3 linked regions of the Saccharomyces cerevisiae S288C genome follow. The gene in region 1 interacts genetically with each later gene. Each region holds a gene or a part of one and is shown on either strand. Other genes may lie near its edges.

Evidence for each region. A genetic interaction does not mean that the proteins touch.
Region 2: mutations in FLC2 (region 1) and BIG1 together harm fitness more than expected from each alone (negative genetic interaction), as found in Saccharomyces cerevisiae (2 studies listed by BioGRID).
Region 3: of FLC2 (region 1) and ALG11, changing one suppresses a phenotype caused by changing the other (phenotypic suppression), as found in Saccharomyces cerevisiae (one study listed by BioGRID).

The regions. Positions count from the first base shown.
Region 1 is NC_001133.9:44,243-48,774, reverse strand, and holds FLC2 (flavin adenine dinucleotide transporter FLC2), read right to left. Parts: upstream 2,877-4,532; coding exon 525-2,876; downstream 1-524. Other genes in the region: oleate-activated transcription factor OAF1, read right to left, coding at 1-211; ACS1 (acetate--CoA ligase 1), read left to right, coding at 3,753-4,532. UniProt on the Saccharomyces cerevisiae protein: May be responsible for the transport of FAD into the endoplasmic reticulum lumen, where it is required for oxidative protein folding.
Region 2 is NC_001140.6:314,360-317,583, reverse strand, and holds BIG1 (Big1p), read left to right. Parts: upstream 1-1,615; coding exon 1,616-1,725; intron 1,726-1,812; coding exon 1,813-2,710; downstream 2,711-3,224. Other genes in the region: putative serine/threonine protein kinase KIC1, read right to left, coding at 1-1,012; GEP4 (phosphatidylglycerophosphatase), read left to right, coding at 2,911-3,224. UniProt on the Saccharomyces cerevisiae protein: Required for normal beta-1,6-glucan synthesis.
Region 3 is NC_001146.8:536,571-540,333, reverse strand, and holds ALG11 (alpha-1,2-mannosyltransferase ALG11), read right to left. Parts: upstream 2,162-3,763; coding exon 515-2,161; downstream 1-514. Other genes in the region: SLM2 (phosphatidylinositol 4,5-bisphosphate-binding protein), read left to right, coding at 1-423; COPII subunit SFB2, read left to right, coding at 2,423-3,763.

The DNA.
Region 1 (4,532 bases):
TCCTACAAGCCTGGCAGACAAACAATATTCTATTTCTTTTCCTATTATGTGTTTCGGAGTTCTCGGGGGCAGGCGATGTGCTTGAGTGCTCAGCTTCTAATCCAGGCGTTGGGTTATTGAACCCTAAGAAAAACGCCTCCGAATATGGCTTGGTAGAGCTATTATCATCATTTCCGGCATGTGGGGCCTTCTGCGTACTATTTTCGACCATGACTTACGCAACCTAATCTATTATTAACCTGCTTCTAACACAAAATAGCCAACAGTAAATCCCTTCTGGAGGATCTGTTTCCTTCTCTACACGTCAAAAAAGATGTCAGAAAAAAGCGGCAATTGCGTACATTTAAGGAAGCAGAGCCAAAGCGAATTTCACATTTAAGGTTTTTATCGCTGAAATATGTGTGGTGTTGGGATGTAATGGAGATAATACACCTTTTTGAGCGGTTTTCTATGAAATATAATGTAGGATATCCTTGCCCTTAAATATTTATATAATAAGTTGTTACATGTGAGTATATATTGGATTACAAATATGGGTTGTTGTTGCGGGCGTTTTCGTTGCTGCCGTTGTTGTTAAAATGCGAATATGATTTATTGGAATTCCCCAGGTAGAGACTTGATTCAGGCTTCATTAAACTGGAGGTGCTTGTATTATTCGGCGCTAGATTAGTACGAGAAGCAGATGACGCACGTTGGTACTGTGGAGACAAGAAGCTGCCACCCGTACCCATGACAGCGGAGGTTGGTTGCACAGGTTGCTCCGTTACTTCCGAGGCATCGAAGGGAGAGGAATTTTGCTTAAAAGAGGATGAACTAGTCTCATCATCAAAGAGTCTTGCTGTATTTGTGTTTGCATTCAGGTTCTTGCCGAAAGTGTCGTCACGGAACATTTTTTCTTCCTCATTTTCATTGGTGTCCATAACAGCTTTTCTCAATTCAAACAGTTCAGAATCATTTTTGTTTTTGCCATCGAAATCATTTTGAATCTTAGGAATGAATGACACACGGTCATCTTTCATTGGTTGGTAACGGACATCTGGGTTTCTGTGTAGTAATGCCAGTGTACAGGTGACAATAGTGAACAATAATAGGAATAGAGCAAACACCGCGTTCAAAACGAACAGAATAACCGCCATCACTGACGAAACCACTGCTGGTTGCTTGAACAAATTACTGAAAAACAAAAAGAAAAATGCATTGATCAAATTCACCAAATGAATAGCAATATTGAAAACATTAGTTCTCTTGTCCAAATATGGTCTTATCCAACAGAGACAAACGAAGTAAGCTAGTTCAATGACAAAGATGATCATTGCTTGAGCCTTACCTTGGTTTTGTAAAACGGCAACAAACAGGGATCTTAAGAACGCATAACTTAATAAGGGTAAAAGCCACCAAAACTTATCTGCTTTGAATTGAACGTATAAGAACCCAAACTTGTTCAAGAAGTAGGTATCACTGTAAAGTAGGTACGCAGGATTCTTGTATAATCTGAGAGACTCTCTTCCCTTGATGAAAACCCTTATAGTTCCATAAACCAGAAGTCCCGTGATGATCAGTAATATTACTACCGCATCAACAACAATCGCTGGAGAGTTGACCTGAGTAAATTCCCAAATCGCCAGAAGAGAAACTTGAGGGAAGGCGATGATAGATAATCTGAAAAGGGTGCCTTTGATAATACTCCCCCAGTTCTTCCTATATTGGAAGAAATTGGAAGTCTCTTTCAATATTCTTGCTCTTGTAAGAACTTCCAATAGCGCCTTAAAGAAAATCAAAGAGACGACAACTACAAATAGGAAGAATAGAAAAAACACAATACCGGTCAAAAAGAAATTAGATAGCTCAATATTAGCCAAATAAGCAACTCTTTCTATACCTCTTAACACGAGAATCTTGGCTGAGTAATTGCTTGGATCCTTCTCAGAAGTGGTGTACAGATTCGAATCGTCTAAAATGGTGTCAAAATTGTAATCACTAGACGATGCCATAGAGATAGCACGTTTTTGCACACTAATGGACAAGACGTCCTTGTTAGCTACCACAACATTTGAGACACCATTAGTGGCCTGTACGTACCAATCAAAAATCTTTTGCATGAAGTTTGTATTGATGATACCCATGGACCATTGGAAATTCTGCGTCCACGCGGCAGCAATGGGTGGAACCCTTGAGACACCCATCATTGCAGTGATAGCTAGATTTTGGAAGTATATGAACAATGAGATGGAGTTGGACGCAATGTGAGCAGCAGTGGCTGAGTAACCGATCACAGACACAAACCCTGAGGTAAGTACACCGACACCTGAGATAGCGGCAATGGGCCAGGCCGCATACTTTGTTTGCACTGTCTTCCCGTTACTCAAGATAGCCTGGACACAAGCCAGCGGAGTTTCGAATTCCGTGTCATTCTGAGCGTATGCCACCACACGTACTTGTGCGTCCAAATCTGGAATGGTGTAAGCAATGCCGGGAAATTGCTTGGTAATGGATGATTCGATCACCTGTGTGGACATGACATCAATACGCCCAGCACTTAGGGGGCAAAGCGATACTTGGCCCAAGGAACATAAATCAAAAGTCTTATCCAGGACTTTCAGTCCGTAAGTAAGCAGCTCAGCCTTCACAGTGACGTTCCCATTAAGCGTCGTCGTAGCGTCAATATCAAAGATAACAGTATTATTATCGGGGTAAAATTTCACATCAAAGAATGATGCCGTTAATTGCGAATTGTCCATACACGTCAATAAAGAAGTGGTCTGCAAATGCTTTGCAGACGCCGGAGTAGTGTCGTTTGTGTCAGAGGAACGTGCTGTACCGCTGCACAGTACGAAACACGTTAAAAGGCACCTTGCGAAGGTGTTTAGGAAGATCATGGCTATATAATCTTTTTATCACGTCAATATAATCGTAATGAAACAGAAATGAATGTATTATAATACACTGAAACACGGTATAGCGCAGCAAATTGTTTTAGTTTAAGGGGTATAAATGTTTTCCAAGGGTGGTGTTCTATATATATATGCCATTCATATACTTTTAATAATGTTCTATACGTATTCCCGTGAAGGCATTAATGATTATCTTTTTCTTTAAAAATGCAAGATGGCTGAGTAGTCGCGCGAAAAAAAAAAAAAAAAGAAACAGCAAGGTTAATTTTAGAATACCAACAGGAAAAAAGAAAAGATTATCCTCCCAGAAAAACAATCTGTTTATTACCCGACATTCTTAAAAAAACAAAAGCAAATCACATGTGCACATACGTCCAGAATGATATCAAGATAAATGGCACGTGTATGTACGGCTGTGTAAATATGATAATCATCTCGGACGAACGGCGTAGCACTCTCCATCCCCTAAAAATGTTCACGTGTGACTGCTCCATTTCGCCGGATGTCGAGATGACCCCCCCCCCTCAAAAGGCACTCACCTGTTGACATGCCGTGGCAAATGATTGGGGTCATCCTTTTTTTCTGTTATCTCTAAGATCCAAAGAAAAGTAAAAAAAAAAGGTTGGGGTACGAATTGCCGCCGAGCCTCCGATGCCATTATTCAATGGGTATTGCAGTTGGGGTACAGTTCCTCGGTGGCAAATAGTTCTCCCTTCATTTTGTATATAAACTGGGCGGCTATTCTAAGCATATTTCTCCCTTAGGTTATCTGGTAGTACGTTATATCTTGTTCTTATATTTTCTATCTATAAGCAAAACCAAACATATCAAAACTACTAGAAAGACATTGCCCACTGTGCTATGTCGCCCTCTGCCGTACAATCATCAAAACTAGAAGAACAGTCAAGTGAAATTGACAAGTTGAAAGCAAAAATGTCCCAGTCTGCCGCCACTGCGCAGCAGAAGAAGGAACATGAGTATGAACATTTGACTTCGGTCAAGATCGTGCCACAACGGCCCATCTCAGATAGACTGCAGCCCGCAATTGCTACCCACTATTCTCCACACTTGGACGGGTTGCAGGACTATCAGCGCTTGCACAAGGAGTCTATTGAAGACCCTGCTAAGTTCTTCGGTTCTAAAGCTACCCAATTTTTAAACTGGTCTAAGCCATTCGATAAGGTGTTCATCCCAGACCCTAAAACGGGCAGGCCCTCCTTCCAGAACAATGCATGGTTCCTCAACGGCCAATTAAACGCCTGTTACAACTGTGTTGACAGACATGCCTTGAAGACTCCTAACAAGAAAGCCATTATTTTCGAAGGTGACGAGCCTGGCCAAGGCTATTCCATTACCTACAAGGAACTACTTGAAGAAGTTTGTCAAGTGGCACAAGTGCTGACTTACTCTATGGGCGTTCGCAAGGGCGATACTGTTGCCGTGTACATGCCTATGGTCCCAGAAGCAATCATAACCTTGTTGGCCATTTCCCGTATCGGTGCCATTCACTCCGTAGTCTTTGCCGGGTTTTCTTCCAACTCCTTGAGAGATCGTATCAACGATGGGGACTCTAAAGTTGTCATCACTACAGATGAATCCAACAGAGGTGGTAAAGTCATTGAGACTAAAAGAATTGTTGAT
Region 2 (3,224 bases), on another chromosome or scaffold:
TTGACTTTTGTGCTTCATCACCCCCGCCATTTTGTGATGGTTTTGGAGCTTCACTGGGTTTTGATGGCTCATTTTCCGGTATACTGCCCTCTATTTTATATTTGTTTTTATTCTTGTCCCTAAATAGTAGATATCGTGATATTAGTTCTTTCAAAATGGACGTTGGCGTCGCCTTGTGGGCCCTGATAAATTTTGATTTTAAAAGATCGTCTGCTGACAATCTCTCCTTTGGATCCTCATCAAGACAAAGCGCAATAAATTCTTTCAAAGATGTACTGTATGATCTGTCCTCAAGCCTCGGTGGTTTCGATTTGATGATTAGTTGCATTGCCCTTAGGGCCTCCACATCGCAGTATGGCGGATTTCCGGTGGCAATCTCGTACGTTGTAATACCTAAAGACCATATATCTACTTTAGTGTCGTAATAAACGCCTTCCATGATCACTTCTGGAGCCATCCAGTAGGGGGTCCCAGCCATAGTTTGACGTCGTAAAGAAGTTTGGTTTACTTGTGCAGCGACACCAAAATCGCATAGTTTAACATTACCTTCGTTAGTGATCAGAACGTTTGCTGCTTTGATATCTCGATGAATGACGTTATCTTTATGAATGCATTTTAATGCTACAAGCAGTTCTCTCATAATAACCCCAATGTACTTTTCATCGATTTTGCCTGGCCTTAACAACGAACGCAGTGAACCACCAGCGCAGTGTTCCATTATGATCCAAAGGCTTGTGTCTTTCAAATACGACCCATAATACCGCGTGATATTGGAAATCTGTTTCAAGGAGGCCAAAAACTGAATTTCTCGCTGCACATCCTCCACCTCGTCAGAATCAGAATCTAAATTTAAGACTTTGATAGCATACACTCGTCCAGTCTTCACGTTATAGCCCTTATAAACCACACCAAATTTCCCTCGCCCAATAACTTCCGTTCTCTTGAAAAGTGAACTCACATCCATCTCTCCTTCGGCTAAACCCTGCTTACTATTTTGTGGCTTCGTCGTCATTACTGCCTGTTCTCTATACGTGTTTTGCTTGCCAGTCGATGGCGCCCAAATTTATACTTTTTGTTTCTTTATCTGTGTACTGTTAAAAGTAGTACTGTTAAAAGTAGTAAGCTCCTTAGAAAGCGGTTCCGCCTAATAGTTCCTAACTTGTTGTATGTGGCTTCACGTAGGACGAGTTGCCTCTGTTCTTCTTTGACTTTTGCCACGTCGGCAAGCTGCTGCTCTTGTTGATGCCTTTAAAGATTGTCAGATCGGCCTGAGATCGACGTGTGGCATGATAATGTTGCTCGATGGGCTGTAAATAGATAAGAAAGAGTGAAACGAATAGAGTAACGAGGCCACAGATGTGGCGAAACCTGGGAGGATATGTTCTAACGTTATCTAGAGTTCTGATAGAGCATTGTATGCGATAGTACCGCTGACATATGTGCATTCTTTAATTATATCGATGATATCATGCAACACGGGTTAGCTCTGTAGTAATGTAAACCTCTCTTAACTACGGCCAAGAATATCAGCAGCGGAGGTTAAGTTGCAGGTTATACCTATCTGTTTTGTAGTTAGGAAACGTAGGCGCATACTAATTAGGAGTAGCAAGGCAAGATGCAAACTGTGTTGAAATATTTGTTGCTTATTATGTGTGGAAGCTTTTGTGCTTCGGAGGAATTGCAAAACCAGACCAATGTTCCTGCAATATTCTTCTCTTACAAACTGTATGTAGAACAAGAAACATTAATCTTTAGTAACTTTCATTTTTCTTACTAACTAGATGTTATACACATATTTGTACTTTTGGATAGAACTCCCGGTATTTTAAAGTATCAAGAGGATTATGATAGGGCTGTGACTTTACCAAGAGACACCTTTATTGAAGCGGCTGAGAAATTCTTAGGTGTATGTAATGCTGACACTTATGTGTTTATTAATCAACCAGGCCTGAGGAAATTGGACTTCTTGGAATTTGAAACAGAGTTTGTTTCGTTACAGAGATATATAAGACGGAGTTCAACCGCGATTAAGTTCGAAAAGGTAGACCTATTGCCTCAAGATTTATACTATGATCTTGCAGAGTTTGTAAAGGAGTATTGTAACGTAGACCAGGTGTTGAACTTACGAGGTAATAATACAGAAGATTTCCAGCCCTTTATTGATAGCGAAAAAAGAGTGATTATAATAGAGTACCCTAAGTTACCAGAGGACACTAATGAACGTAAAGAAGCATTCCGCCATTATGACAAGTATTTGAGGACTATACTGGCGCAGATTCCGTCGCCAGAACAAAATGTCATTTACACCTCGTTAAACCCAGGAACTACGCTGGCTCACGAGTCGATCATCCCTATCCAAATATTTCCAGATATCTTTGACATAAAATCCAGAGTGGGTGAAGTGGAACAAAATAATAGAGTTTTGGATGTGCCTCGTCTGTCGTTTAATGACTATACTCCACGATTTTCAGAGCCACCTTCGGAGTATGTCTCAATATTTGATTCACAATTAATTGAGAATAACAGAGGTTTATTACAGCTGATTTTCACAATTTTGGTTGGGTATATTCTTATTCAGTTTTTTTTCACAAAAAAAACTATTGTAGATGAGAAGATTACTAATAAAAAGGACAACGTGAAACAGACGTCACCACAACTGCTCAAAAAAGTGCAAGAGATCCAGAAAAAGCCATCCCAGCAAGTATCTTGATTATGGTTCGTTATATACATCGATTCTTTGCAAAATTATCCATGAGAGACTTCGCGCCATGCTACAATTTACCAATGCGCATCGAGAAATTTATGCTATCGCATTTAATATGATATAATTATCCGTCTGTTTATATATATATATATATGGGGCCAAACTGAAAGGCGGCAGTTACATTACATCGTCTCCTCTACCTAGTCATGAACATCAGTGGCACCTTAAATACGCTCCGGTTGCTTTATAACCCATCACTGTGTAAGCCTAGTCTAGTTGTCCCCACTTTTAACGATCTTCCTATACCAATCCACGATTCTATAAAGGCCGTGGTCTTGGATAAGGACAACTGCATCGCCTTCCCTCATGATGACAAAATATGGCCAGATTACTTGCAACACTGGGAAACCTTAAGGTCGAAATACTCTAACAAAGCACTCTTGATTGTTAGCAATACCGCCGGTTCCAATTCTGATAAGGACTATTCGCAAGCAAAACTTTTGGAAGATAAGACAGGTAT
Region 3 (3,763 bases), on another chromosome or scaffold:
TTTATATTGCGTACGAATTCTAACGGACTAATACATAGGGGTCACAACTGGGTATTCAAAGTAGACTCTTATGACGATATGATAGAATGGTTTGGAAATATCAAAGCCTTATCAAGTTTGCCCAACTATGACGACAAATGCAAATATGTGAGTAAAGTTGCCAAACTGTCTAAAGAAAAAGCCAAGAGTAATGAAAACACCACGGAGAGCGTGACCCCCCAGGTAACTAATGAGCAACATACGAGATACGATGATGTGAGTAGTAGCAATTTTCCCTTGAATTCCATTCCAAAATTAGACAATTTGACAATCACTAACACCACGTCATCGATACCGGAAACGAATGATTCACAAATTCAGAATAGGGTTCCTGAATTTTACATTGAAAATGTAGATTCCCCTAGAAAAAGCAATCAGCTGTGACAAGTAAGTTAATTATATAGTAATGCTCTAGTTTGTATGTAATATTATGTATAAGTTTTCTCATAAACAAGGCTTCTATTTTCAAAAAACATCAGCCCCTTTCCTCCTCTTCTAATAATTTACAAATAGGATTCAGTACAAAGTTTTCCCAATCTTTATCAAACTTCAAATCAGAGAATTTATACAATGAATACTGCTGGTTTCTTGCGCCCATCACCCTTAGGCAGTCATAGTCCAGTTTCGTAATTTGTAAGAAAAGGTCGGACAAATTAGGGTATCTCAGAGGATCTTTGGTTGTGTTATAATCAGGATCACTCGGCTCTTTAAAGAAAAATCCAGTAGTTTCACCATCATCTTCGAGTTTTGCAAAATATTTCTTTTGTAACTCCCATTGTGGTGGAGCTTTTCCGATATTCCCGTTGGCATCCCATGGAGTAACTATATCTAACAATGGGCCCGCCGAGGCATGAACTATGGGGATCAAACCGGAAGCCATATACTCTACAACTGCAATTCCAAAGTGCTCATTCCACATGGCATTAACACCGAAAGTAGATTTGTTTAGTAATATTTCAATCTTATCGAAGGGCAGATTTTTTTCGAATGATATCAAATGTTTAGGAATTTTTAATACATTTTCTGACCAGTCTTGTAAACTTTTAACATAATTTTCATCTTGCTTGGATCTAGTGGACCCCGCCATTATCAATTTAATTGGCGATACAGAATCCGGTAAATTTTTCAAGAAAGTTGCAAAGGACTCAATGATTAACTTATGACGTTTCTCAGGACGAAATTGTGCCAACACAATTGCTTGATTTAATCTCTCACCCTTTGCAGTACCAAACTTTTGCTTCCAATCTACTAATTTCTCAGTAGAGCATGGAGGATATATAATTTTACACGTATTGGATTGCCAAATTTGCTTTATGTGGTTATTTGTCCATGTTGAGTTTGTGATTACAATATCAATTTTAGAACCAATGGATTGATAAATTAACATAAAAACTTTCCAGTATAATATTTTACCGTAAACTTTGATACCCTTCTTGGGCATTTTGAACAGCTTATTTAACATGTCTTTTGACATTATCGGATAATGCGTATATGTGACGATAGGAATTCTCCTCAAAAACCTAGCAATAATAGGATAGCTGAAAGGGTACCCCATTGTATCAATCCATATATCAGGTGGACACTGAATAATGGATTCAAATGCGAGAATCATTGATCCAATTGCTTGTCCAATCAACGTGAAATGCTTCCATGTTGAAGAATCCACCAAGTATCTTAGCTTCAATGAAATGAAAAATATTCTATCCGAATCCAAGTCGTAATCGAACTTCGCTTTCACATTATTTAGAATATTCTCCGGAGTAACATTCTCTCCATTCACAAAATCCCCTGAATAAATGACAATAACGTTCTTAGCATCTTTTCTCAAAGTGATATCTACAGCTTTCCAGAGCACTTTTTCCCCACCACCACCAGCATTACAATACGGATGAAAAAAACCAAAAACTTTCACATTCTTCTCACCACAGGAGGCAACTGCTCTGTTCAGTAATGAAGATTTTTTGGAGAACGGATTCAAGCTGGAATACACCCATTGACGGAAGATCCACGTGAGAACCTTAATTAGTCCATACACTAGTACTAAAGATGATACAACATATTTTTTGAACCCAAAATGAGACTTAACCTCTTCAAAATTGTAGTTTGTCCAAGCACTGCCCATTTTCGCCTGCAATCACCTGAACATGTTGGTCACACTTGGATACTAACATCTATCTTCACTTCACTTACCTCTCAATCTTATTATTTATTGAACTTTTCACTTTTTGTTTAGCTTACCCGAAGGACATAGATGTAGCGATGACAACGATGAATGATACGTCAGTTAAAAGGGTCTTCGTCGAACTCTTCATCTAACCCTTCATTTGCAGTGTGCTTGGTTGATGAACCTTCTTCCATTAATGATCGACAGCTGCAGTGAATAATGTCTCATCATAAGAAGAGGGTGTACCCTCAAGCTCAGGTGCCATACATTGCAAGTATGCCAATAGTTGCAGAGCAACAGCAGTCTCAACAACAAATCGACCAAACAGCTTATGCAATGGGCAACCTACAATTGAACAATAGGGCTAACTCATTTACACAGCTAGCTCAAAATCAACAGTTTCCTGGTTCTGGGAAAGTGGTCAATCAACTATACCCTGTGGATTTGTTTACAGAATTACCTCCGCCAATCCGTGACCTGTCTTTACCACCTCTTCCAATCACCATTTCTCAGGATAACATTGTGACTCCATCCGAATATTCAAATGTTCCATACCAGTACGTCAGATCTACTTTGAAAGCGGTGCCAAAAACAAACTCTCTGCTGAAGAAAACGAAGTTACCATTTGCCATTGTTATTAGACCATATTTGCATTTGCAAGATTCAGACAACCAAGTACCGCTAAATACTGACGGAGTCATTGTCCGCTGTCGCCGTTGTCGTTCATATATGAACCCTTTTGTCGTTTTCATTAACCAAGGGAGAAAATGGCAATGTAATATATGCCGTTTCAAAAATGATGTCCCATTTGGGTTTGATCAGAACTTACAAGGCGCTCCAATCAACAGATATGAAAGAAACGAAATTAAAAACTCTGTCGTGGATTACTTGGCTCCCGTAGAATATTCTGTTAGGGAACCCCCACCATCTGTTTATGTATTTCTTTTAGATGTTTCTCAAAACGCTGTCAAAAATGGTTTATTGGCTACTTCTGCCAGAACCATTTTAGAAAACATAGAATTTCTACCAAATCATGATGGAAGGACCAGAATTGCTATTATATGTGTTGATCATAGCCTTCATTATTTTTACGTTCCTTTGGATGATGATTATGAAGTATCGGATGAGGATGATGAAGAATCAGATGGTGAAGAAGAAGATGAAGACGAGGAAGAGGAAGACGTTGATAATTCAGAAACAATTCAAATGTTTGATATTGGCGATTTGGATGAACCATTTTTACCAATGCCGAGTGATGAATTAGTAGTTCCACTAAAATATTGTAAAAATAATCTGGAAACATTGTTGAAAAAGATACCTGAAATTTTTCAAGACACACACAGTAGCAAGTTTGCACTTGGACCTGCCCTAAAAGCTGCGTCAAATTTGATAAAAAGCACTGGAGGCAAAGTTGAAGTCATTTCATCAACTTTACCAAATACTGGCATCGGGAAATTGAAAAAAAGAAGTGAACAGGGCATATTAAACACACCAAAAGAAAGCTCTCAGCTACTGTCGTGTAAAGATTCCTTTTATAAAACATTCACAATTGAGTGTAAT